3 linked regions of the Arabidopsis thaliana genome follow. The protein of the gene in region 2 interacts with the protein of the main gene of each other region in a pairwise test. Each region holds a gene or a part of one and is shown on either strand. Other genes may lie near its edges. The genes, in order: KNAT2, BEL10 and KNAT6.

Evidence for each region.
Region 1: the proteins of BEL10 (region 2) and KNAT2 interact in binary tests that used the Arabidopsis thaliana proteins (3 or more experiments, as listed by UniProt).
Region 3: the proteins of BEL10 (region 2) and KNAT6 interact in binary tests that used the Arabidopsis thaliana proteins (3 or more experiments, as listed by UniProt).

What each region holds. Positions count from the first base shown.
Region 1 is NC_003070.9:26,574,604-26,578,361, forward strand, and holds the start of KNAT2 (homeobox knotted-like protein), read left to right. Parts: upstream 1-1,882; 5' UTR 1,883-2,031; coding exon 2,032-2,304; intron 2,305-2,544; coding exon 2,545-2,679; intron 2,680-2,752; coding exon 2,753-2,891; intron 2,892-3,758. UniProt on the Arabidopsis thaliana protein: May play a role in meristem function, and may be involved in maintaining cells in an undifferentiated, meristematic state. Probably binds to the DNA sequence 5'-TGAC-3'.
Region 2 is NC_003070.9:6,811,245-6,815,002, forward strand, and holds the start of BEL10 (BEL1-like homeodomain 10), read right to left. Parts: upstream 1,820-3,758; 5' UTR 1,599-1,819; intron 1,514-1,598; exon of another isoform or gene 960-1,513; intron 751-959; exon of another isoform or gene 684-750; 5' UTR 611-683; coding exon 1-610. Other genes in the region: AT1G19710 (UDP-Glycosyltransferase superfamily protein), read left to right, coding at 3,676-3,758.
Region 3 is NC_003070.9:8,300,988-8,304,745, forward strand, and holds the start of KNAT6 (homeobox protein knotted-1-like 6), read right to left. Parts: upstream 1,614-3,758; 5' UTR 1,506-1,613; coding exon 1,185-1,505; intron 1,047-1,184; coding exon 918-1,046; intron 817-917; coding exon 678-816; intron 1-677. UniProt on the Arabidopsis thaliana protein: Plays a role in meristem function. Contributes to the shoot apical meristem (SAM) maintenance and organ separation by controlling boundary establishment in embryo in a CUC1, CUC2 and STM-dependent manner.

The sequences.
Region 1 (3,758 bases), about 20 Mb from region 2:
TGTTAGTTAATTAAAAATGAGTCTCTCAGTGTTTAGTATAGTAATCTCAAATTTCAGTTCGTTACAAGCGTTATGTAGAGATGACTAAAAACAATATTTGTTAAAACATAACATATTAAGACAAGCATATAAAATTTTATAAACCATATTAAGATTATTTTGATAACATGTAATTGTATAGCATAAAACTACTTAGAAAGAAAGAGAAACAACCAAAGGAGAGTATTAAGACCTGGGATTCCCAAAATAAATAAATAAAATCCATAAGAAGCTAAGTAATCTCCAATTTCAGTAACATTTCTAACAACAGAAACAAATTTGTTCAAAACCACATATTGATGATATGAGATACAAAAAAGAATGACAATAAACTCCTACAAAGTTGAAGCAACCGAGTGGTACAATAATATATTAACAAAAACCTCAATACAAAGAATTGAAACCTAACAACACTAAATCACGGGAACAGTATGAACAATCCATGATGAAACATTCGAGTGGTACAATATTATCTTAGCAACATAATTATATGCACTTGATCTAATAATTTAGTCGTCACTTTTTGTTATTATTATTTTTTCTGCAAGACACACATTTTTTTTTTGCAATCATTTCTCGACGATAGTGATCATATAGATTATAGAAACTTGTGACCCCCCCCAAAAAATACAGAAAAGTTTAGAAACAATATAAATATGTGCTGTGAAGGCCACCGGTGGGGATTCAATACGATACGATCCAACGAAGTGAAATGAGAGAGAAGGAAAGTTCTGTCGTTTTTATAAGGTTTGATACTAAAACAAAGCTTTATGTCAGTTAAATTTCACACCAAAGTAGTCCGACGGATGTGTCAATCAAACCTGTCCATCATCAAAAAGACCTTTATGACATTTGTTTTTATTTTTTTTTGCGGAAAAAACGATATGGATCATCGGATCGGGTCTGGAGTAGACCCATGCAAAAATATAGTTTTTTTTCTTACAACAGGGTTTATAGATGGATTTTGGTTTATGACAAAAACTGCAGGTTCTGTTACTATATAAGGTAATGAAACATTTTGAGTTGATATTATACGCGACTAACAGATTCTCTATGAAAATAACAAGAAGTGCGATAAGTGGAGTGGCCACTATAAAAAATAGTTCCTAAGAGTGTGTTTAATTAGCAAATGACTGAAAGCAATTAAAAAACAAAAATTGTTTACTATGTTGTGATTGATAATGAGCACCTAGCTACCATAGACGTGTTTTACAGAGAAACAAAACTAGGTGAAAATTGAAAGAGTGAAATTGAAGTTGAACCGATCCGGTTAGACAACTAGAATCGTAGTAGCCTAGTAGGTGTCGGCCACCGTAATTGAAACAAAAAGCTTATTAATTAACAAAATTACCATCATTTGTTTTTACTGTCAAAATTCAAATTACCATCGTCTAACCTGTTTTTGTTAACAAGTACTAATTGTTGTCTTCATTAGCTAAGTCATAAATTCTAAAGGTTAGCGTGCTATTTTGATCATTTGTGCGATAATATTATATATCAAAAATAATCGTAACCATGTAATCGTACAGTTAAAAAAAGTGCTCTTGAATCACGAAGAAATCTTTTTATAATCACTCGAATCGTATTCCTTAACACATATGGCAAACCCTTGAAATCTTTCTTCTTTTATACTAGTACGACAAAATAAAATAAAAATTATGGTGTCTTTAAGAAAAACTTGTAAATTATCATAATAAACTATGAAAATTCATATTCGTGATTTTTTTTTTTTTTTGCTTTTCGTCACAAATCATTTTTTTTTTTTTTTGGTTTTTTGCTGAAATATTTACGATCATTGCCCTCAGACTACTATACTACGAGACCGCCTCAACTTGGCCAGTCTATCTATTTCCATTGTCTCTATCTCTCTCTCTCTTTGAAGCAGTTTGTTACTTCTTACTTTTGTGTTTCTTCATATTCTTCAGAAGCAAGCACAAGGCTAGGGATCGAAGAAGCGGCGATCACTGATCGTATCTCACTACGATCACATTAATGGATAGAATGTGTGGTTTCCGCTCGACGGAAGACTATTCGGAGAAAGCGACGTTGATGATGCCGTCCGATTATCAGTCTTTGATTTGTTCAACCACCGGAGACAATCAAAGACTGTTTGGATCCGACGAACTCGCTACCGCTTTGTCCTCGGAGTTGCTTCCGCGTATTCGAAAAGCTGAGGATAATTTCTCTCTTAGTGTCATCAAATCCAAAATCGCTTCTCATCCTTTGTATCCTCGCTTACTCCAAACCTACATCGATTGCCAAAAGGTGATCTCGCTGCTTTCGTGTTTTGTCTTTTCTTTTTCTTGTTGTGTATGATTTTGTGCTTTCAAGGTTAATTTGATTAAGCGTCAGGAATTTTACATGTATTCATCGTCGTATTTAAAGATAGTTCTCTTACTTTTTTTTTTCTATTCCACTTTAACCCTAAGATAAGATTGGAGAACTAGAGAGACTGTGTTTATATGTGAGAGTGATTTTTTTTTTTTTTTGGTTATTGATTGACAGGTGGGAGCGCCTATGGAAATAGCGTGTATATTGGAAGAGATTCAGCGAGAGAACCATGTGTACAAGAGAGATGTTGCTCCATTATCTTGCTTTGGAGCTGATCCTGAGCTTGATGAATTCATGGTTTCTCACTTTGTTCGTTGCCTTGAACTTTGATCTTCTAGTTTTTCTTAAAATATAATTTTGTTTTTTTGTGGTGTGATTCTAGGAAACCTACTGTGATATATTGGTTAAATACAAAACCGATCTTGCGAGGCCGTTCGACGAGGCTACAACTTTCATAAACAAGATTGAAATGCAGCTTCAGAACTTGTGCACTGGTCCAGCGTCTGCTACAGCTCTTTCAGGTCAGCACTAAAGTGATATCTATCTCTTGTTCGAGTGTACTTTTGATTTCTTGTTTCCTAGCTAGTGTTTTTATTGATCTTTGAGCACTATCCTCGGTTTGTGTGTCCTTTAAAATCCTTGCGCAAATTTCTCCTTACAGTTACAGATCTTGCGGATTAGAAAATCTATCCTCAGATAACTTTTCCTTTCTGTGCTTCAATGATCAGTTTCTTGGAATTGATGGAAAAATTGGAAATCTTCTACTGTTTTTTTTTTCCTTAAAGAAAACGAGAATCGATAAGTTGTTGTAGCTGAAACTAGGAGGAGCTTAGTAGATCCGGTTTAGACAACCCAAGGCAATAAAAGTCAGAAAAAAACAAGGAAACTCTAAAACCCTAGTTTTGTTAGAAAACAATGATTGATTCAGCCACATCTTTTATATTTGGTAGAAGTCATTCATGCTTTAGATAGATCCATGACCTTCACACATCTTTGTGACATTTATTTTCTATCATTAGCTATGGTTTAAGCTGTGGGGCGGATATTAGGGGAAAGCCGGTGGGTAGGATTTTCTCTGTTAGTGATATTTATTTTCCTAGTGATTTTGGTATGGTATACTTTTCTTTTGTTACTTTTATATATACTTGTATTATTATCTTCTCCTCTGTCAGAAGAAAATATGGGTCTATGAAAGCAAAAACTTTTGCGCTAGAGATTCTGATTTTGACGTTTCAGTGTCGTACTGGAAGTTTTTTAATTGCTTATTTCCAGTGAAAATTCAATCATAGAGAAAAAACCTAGTCATAACTTCCACTAATAAATGCCACTGATTTTTCTTGAGTTTGTCCTTGGCTTCATGTTTAGATCTCTAGTAGTATCGCTTGTTT
Region 2 (3,758 bases):
TGTTAAAGTCATTAACTTTCATCTTCTTCTTCCCCATTTGGTTTAGTTCTTTCTTGACACTAACCACTTCATCAAGCAAATTCTGAGCAGGTTTAAGATACCGAGAACGCAGAACGCTGCTCATAAACCCTCCTGATGTCTCATTATACCGATAATTGTTGTAGAAGCCATTCCCACCATTACCAGCATAACCAGAGGAAGGATCAGATTGACCCAACAAGATCATTTCTTTGCTCTTCACACTCATCTCATCCACATGAAACGGTGACGTTTCCTTGACTGAAATTGAAGGATTCTGACTAGTAAACCCCAATTGGTATTGATGAAAGTGAAACGGAGCAACAGAGATCTGAGTACCAAGGCTCAAAGACAGTCCTTGACCATCGTGAAAGCTTAGATCGCTGCTTGAAACGGTACCGTTTCCTGTTACAACGTCTCCTGTGGTGGTTGGTGGGATAAAAACCATCTCGTTTCGAACAGTATCGCCGCCGGTGACGGTGAAAGAAGCGGCGGCGGATGAAGAAGAAGCTTGTTGGTTTTGTTGTTGATGGTTGAGAAAGATTGGTTCTTGCTGGTAACAACCGACATTACTTGTGTAATAAACTGCCATTGGTGTTTACACCTTTTAAAAGTTTTATTACAGTGAGTTCTTAGTTCGATGAGTTTGGTCGGGAAATGAGATCCTGCAAAAAAATAAGAGGAAGAAGAGTCGTGTAAGGTGTGGAATTTTAAAAATTTCTGATGGAATCTAAGAGAGGTTAAAACATCGTAATCATTTCACACCAAACCATTTTTTTTATATATCATACATAAACAGTTTCGAAAGCAACAAACAGAATCGGACCAAATTATTCGGAGGATTAAAGTCAAATTCTTGATAAAAAGCAAATGTTTTTCGTGAAGAACTGAAGAAACCCAGAAAAACCCAATACAGGAATTGTGTAATCGTAGAGGAATACCCGATCTATGGAGGTGAAATTGAGAGGAGAAAAAAACCCTAATTTGAGGTTGGAAAAAAAAATGCAGAGTAAAAAGAAATTGTGTAGCTCAACGTAGTGAGTCAAAAGCAGAGAAGATTCAATTATTACATAAAGAAGTAAAGTGTCTTGATGATTTCATCTCTTGTAGGAGAATTTCCAAAAAGCAAGGGAGAAAAAAAACACAGAAAGTATACAAAAAATAATAATCAAGAAACACAGTACAAGATTAATCATATCAAGAATCAAGAATCAAGAACTTGAATTTTTAAAAACTACCTGAGGGAGAGAATCAAAGTTAAAAGGAAGAAAAAAAACCTAGAGATTGTGTTTGTGAGTGTGGATGTGGCTGAATCAGGAAACACAAAAGCAGAAGAGTTTCGAACAGTTGAAGACAAAAAAAGATTTGAGACCCAATCCCGAGAGAGATAGAGAAAGAGGCGATTAATAATTGCAAAATTCTTAAATAAACAAATTTTTTTCAGTCCACAAGAACAATAAAACCAACCCAACTTATCATTGGGACATTAGACACCAACCCAATTTTTAAAAATATTATTATGCAATATCAACAATAAAATAAAATAATGATCACTACCGGAAAAATTTGACAACCGCTACCTGTAATTTTTAATTTTTTGCGGCAGAAGCTTCTGTTTCTGATGCTTAGAGTAAAGATAAATTAATATGATTTTTTTTGTGTGCCAACCATTCATAGAGAAACACGTGAGAGCTTACAAATCACCAATTTTCTTTTCTTGATTACGTGATAATATTTCTTATGACGACTTTAACATACAAAACTTAACAATTCCACACACACAAATAAATGGATTTTTATAGATGATTGTATTATACTTTAATGATGTTGTGTTGTCATTGACTTGAGACTCATACTACTTTTCCGTATAAGTTAACTAAATACAACCAAAAGAAAAAAGTTGAAGGAATGAGTGTTTATATATGAAAAGTTTAGTATTTGTATATTAAAAAAAAAAACCAAATCTAACTATTTAAACGAAATAATCTATAATGCGTACATTACCATGGTATCGTGGGAAACTTTTAACGACTTCCTGATTTGTGTACGTGAGGCTCCAAAATAGTGAAATTATTACCTGCCACAAATTATAGAGTCTAGATTTGGATTTCAAACTAAAATGTTTTTTTAAACTATTTGTTCTTATCACCTTGCTTTCATCATAAAGTTAAAGTTCGATACATTTTTAATAGAACTTCTTGAGCACTTTGTAGTTCAATATCTTTGAGGTTTTCTTTAAATGTTTGATATAACGGATATACTTTTAGTTATGCATGGTAGCGGAAATTAAACTCCATCAAATAAAACATAGAAACGTCATTATAGGTAGGAATATGAGATTACAAAACTGACCCTGATAAGCTGGTTTAAGGAAGAAGATAAAACAAAGGTGGGTGTGTGTCTGCTCAATTGCTTAATTGATGGATTAAATGACTTAACAACCAGTTGGTGAGTCCCTCCTTACTCTTCTGTTATACCCAATTTTTATTCTAAGTTCTCTTGTCTTTTTATTTCTTTTGTTATAAACCTTTTAGTTATACACTTACATGTTTGTATTTGCATATTCCACAATGAAGAATACGTAAAAGATTATCTTTATAGCTACACTAATAATATAATCCATTTCCTCTGATTTTTAAAATAACAAGTAGTTTCGTTTTGGTTTGTTGGAGATTGGATTTAGAGCAGCCGACACAAAATCATTTGGCAAGTACCATTGTGTTGGAAAATTATTATTCATGTGTTTTGAGTCTTTGAGAGATGATGATATTGACTTTTGTTTCCACGTGGATCTTGATTTATAATGATGATTAAAAATAAATTAATTAGGCAGTTAGCTGGTGAGAGATTGATTAAATCTACTAAAAATTTAGATTATTAATGATGTAATTATTTTTAAAACCGTATGGTTCTGTAAATCATATTTTAAAGTTGAGGATGAATCGATGATGCTAAACGAGGAAAATGTGTGTGAGTAAGAAATGAACAACCTTTGGTTTGGAGGAAAATGTTGAAGTATAATAATTCTTGCCAATTGTCAAATATATTAATTACATGGATATATCCGAAAAAAAACTTTATAATAAATAGCCACAAGTTATGGCCGTGTAACAAAAAGTAAAAGAATTTATTGCCACATACATTGTTGGACCATATATGAAGACGGATCATCACCACTAAAATTCATGTTTGTAACATTTATATTCTATGGATCGAAATCATTATGCTCTCCATTATTAGAACCAAACAAAACCAAACCAAAATTGTATCAGCAAAACTAATCTGAAGCCTAGCTTAGCTTAAGAAAAAAAAAGAATTAAAACCATATAGTATGCATTAACTATCATCATAACTAGTTTAGTTTTAGGCTTTTAGCAAATAGGCCTTTTAAAGCCCATTATAAATATGAAGAGAGGATTCCATCGGGGGCCTGCTGAGAAACGGCAATCAACTTCCTTCTAAATAACAAAAACGGCGTGAATTGCAAACTTCTGCAAAGAGTCAACACTGATTAGCGGCTTTTCCCCATTAAATCTCTCCTCTAAACTTCTTCGTTCCAAGCTTTCTCCATCACTGACGACAGATCCTTAGAAAGTTCTGAGATCGATTGTTACTGTGTAAACCCTAGGATGTGATTCTAAGCTGTAGAGAGAAACAATGGCGAAGCCATCAACGAGTATGTGGGCAACATTGCAGAAGAAGAGATGGCCACTGATGATTCTATTGGTTTTATCTGTATC
Region 3 (3,758 bases), 1.5 Mb from region 2:
TACACATATTGTTAAAAAGTTATGACTAGGTTTTTCTGTCAATTGGTTTTTCACTAGAAAAAAGCAACAAGTTGAAAAAACATTCAGTACGCAACAAGCCTCTGAAACGTCAAAATCAGAATCTCTACCACAAAAGTTTATTGCTTTCTACACCATTTTCTTTCTGACAGAGAAAGAAGAGAAAAAGATATAAAGTAAAATTTGTATGATTAGCACAAAGATCAACAACAAGAAGAAGAGGAAATCCCCACCACACTCCAACACCCTAATCCCATGGCTAAAACATTAAATGAACGAGTAAAATAATTGCACAACACCTTAAACAGATCTTTGTCTCCAGAGTTTCAACGTGCCCAAAAGAAAAGCACACACAAAACAAAACCCATCAAGGGAAAAATAGCTATGGAAATGAAACTTGTAGCTAGGGTTTATCTTCTTTTTTTTCATTTTTTATCTATTTTGCTTTCTGATCACTTCAAAAGCCTAGGGTTATTCTATCAACAAGCTACCAATCATTTTTCAGAAACTGGTCATATGAATCAAAACCCTATGGAAATATCGAGGAAAGGATATTATTAATGAAAAACCACGGAAAAGATCAAAAGAAATCATTCAGAACTAACCACAAAATAGAACCACTAAAAGACCGAACCAGAGAGGGATAATTTAAGACATACCAGAAACTCCCCTGGCAGACTCGACACCAGTACATAGGTTCCGTAGCTGCATCTCAATCTTGTTCAAGAAACACGTTGCCTCGTCAAACGGTCTTGCTAGATCCGATTTGTATTTCACTAATATATCGCAGTACGTTTCCTGATAATAAATTATCTTCTTAAGTACAAAAATTTCCAAAAAAAAATATTTTAACAAAAATAAAAATCCGAAAAAAAATCGAGGGAAAAAAAGAGAGAGACCATAAATTCATCAAGCTCAGGATCAGCTCCAAAGCAAGAAGAAGGAACAACCTCTTGCTTATAAACATCACTCTCCCGTTGAATCTCCTCTAGTAAACACGCTATCTCCGGTGGTGCTCCGACCTGTTTCTAAATTATGAAATTGTTAAACCATAAAATTATAAAAAAAACAATCAAATATCAAAGCTTCTCAATCTTATCTTTATCTTTAAAAAGTAAAACCTAGATTTTATCTAAGTGATAAAAAAAGAAAGAGTTAACGATCACCTTTTGGCAATCGATGTAAGCTTGAAGTAAGCGAGGATACGAAGGATGACAAGCGATTTTAGCTTTGATGACAGTTAGAGAAACGTTATCATCATTTCTTCGGATCTCCGGAGCGATCGAAGCCGCCTCCGACGACAAAGCGGAGACGGCTACTGAGAGTAGCTCGTCGGATCCGAAAACATCAGAGACACGATTTTCACCGGCGGAGGAACATAGCAAAGCTTGGTAATCGGAAGGAAACATGAGACTCTCCGGTGACATCATCAGAACCGACTTATCTGAATAATCACCGGCCGAATGGAAATTGTACATTCCATCCATAAGTATAAGATCTCCGGTAAGAACTCCTCCGTCTTCTAAATCGCTTTCTTGAATTGTCTTCTTGCAAAATCAAGAATCGATGAAGAAGAATAATATGAAACCGCTTATAACAAACTTTTTGGTTCTTGAAAATATTTATTTCTATGGGAGTGTGTAGAGAGAGAGAGAGGCTCGAGGGATCTTAATTTATTTTCTTTTGGAAGAAAAAAGATATGAAAGTTAACGGAGAAGAAAAATAAAATGATAATTACGAAAAAGGACATATGCTAAAAGGCTCAATGGAGCTTCAGGCTTCATAGGTCGAGATAAGGCCTTCCTAACATATATATCTAAGAAAGGTCCAAGGCTGTGTTATGATAGAATTTGCATGATCATGAGATTTTTAATATCAATGAAACATGGCGAGAAACAAAATTATATATTATTGAAAACGAAATGGAAAAAACGGAAAAAGTGTGATTATTTACCAGCATACTATGTCAGTTTATTTGAACTCTTTTTTTTCTCATCGACAATACACTTAGATGGTAACATAACTACTAGTACATATAACCACTAAACTACACGCAACTTATTTGAAAGCTCTGTGTAATTTTCTTTTCAAAAAGTATAGTTGATGACTTGATGTATATATTATAGGACCTATAGAAACAAATTGAGCATCTAACATAATGATTTGTATCAGTATCGGCATTGTATCGTTATCTTCATTCAAATATGATAATATGCATGTGTGAGCTGTAGACAGTTAAAAAAATAATCCCCAATGTATATATATTTTCGAAAAACTTTGTAGAAAATATATTTTTATTATGATCCTAAGAACATATATAGATACACCTACATAAATCGTTTATTTGATTGCAAATAGTGAAACAAGGTGAAAATGTTAAACAACAAGTGGAAAACCGAACAGAAGAAAGAAAACAAATGAAGTCGCATATCAGAAGATAATATAGTACTAATGATATTGAATCGAGTCAATTAGAAATAGATATTAGTTCAGTATATGAGAGATGTTTTGGGTATGTTGAATCGAATATATCAAACTGGAAAAACAAGAACTGGTTACAAACAACTAGTGAGCTGATACATACATATATATAGTTAAAGAGCGGTATTATTTTAATACTTGTCACTGTAAATTTGTTGCTAGATACAGAACAAAATTATCGAACACGACTACTAACAAAATGATAATCAACACATATATATTCAAATGATGGTATGAAATAAATCAAATGTGAAGAATATATGGATATGATAAGTGATTCTTAGTACCTACTACGTAGTAAGAAATTTTTTACCAACTCGGATGTTGGACACTTCGATTGTACGGGATGAAATGGGTTTCGAGAAGCGAAGGTCCGTTCCTAGATAGTAGATAAGAAGGCCCTAATGGAAAATCGTCTAATTAAGATTAAATTAGTATATAGTATCAGCTAGTGTTTACTTTAGAATAGTTCTGTATAAAGCAAGTTTGTGGATAAAACTAAGAATAAAATAAACGCTGGTCTAGGCGTATAGGAGCTGCAAAATCAATGGTCTTAGCTAATTTATGATTTATGAAATTTATGCCAAAATTGATGATGCTGATATTCATGATGACTTTAGCTTATGAAAATGAACTATGTAATTTATTCACAAAAATAGACATAAGCATAATTTGGTATATTTAATGATTTTACATATGTATTAAGTTTGAAATTATGAAATTGGCCGTAATTTAAAGAGAGTATCAAGAAAAAAACGAGCACTTTAACCAAAAAGAAAATAGAACGAGAGCATCTATAATATTTCGAATGGAACTATTCTTTTAGTTTTGTCGACAGCTTTTTACGTCTATCATATAATTTTCAATCAAGAAAGTGGCATGTTCTTTCATACTACTTTAATATAAACTTTGTTTCTGTTTTTATTTTTTTTCTCAAAGACTAGAGAAAGTCATTTTCATCTTAAAGGTACTTGCAAACTATTGGTTGCTCTAAATCACCTAACGTATCATAAATAATCAAGGGGAAATTAAGTTAAAGAAAGGAGACTTGAAATTAGATAAATATGAAGTCACAAAAGCGAAAACAATATATATATCACAAACGAGTTTGCCTTCTTATTATTGGCAAAGATCAGACGAAAATATGTTATTTATTTATTTAACATATTATTTGTTCACATATGCATATTCTTGGTGAGAAAAAACAATACAAATTTTTTCTGGAGACACAATCAAAATGTTCAATATTTTCTTTCTCT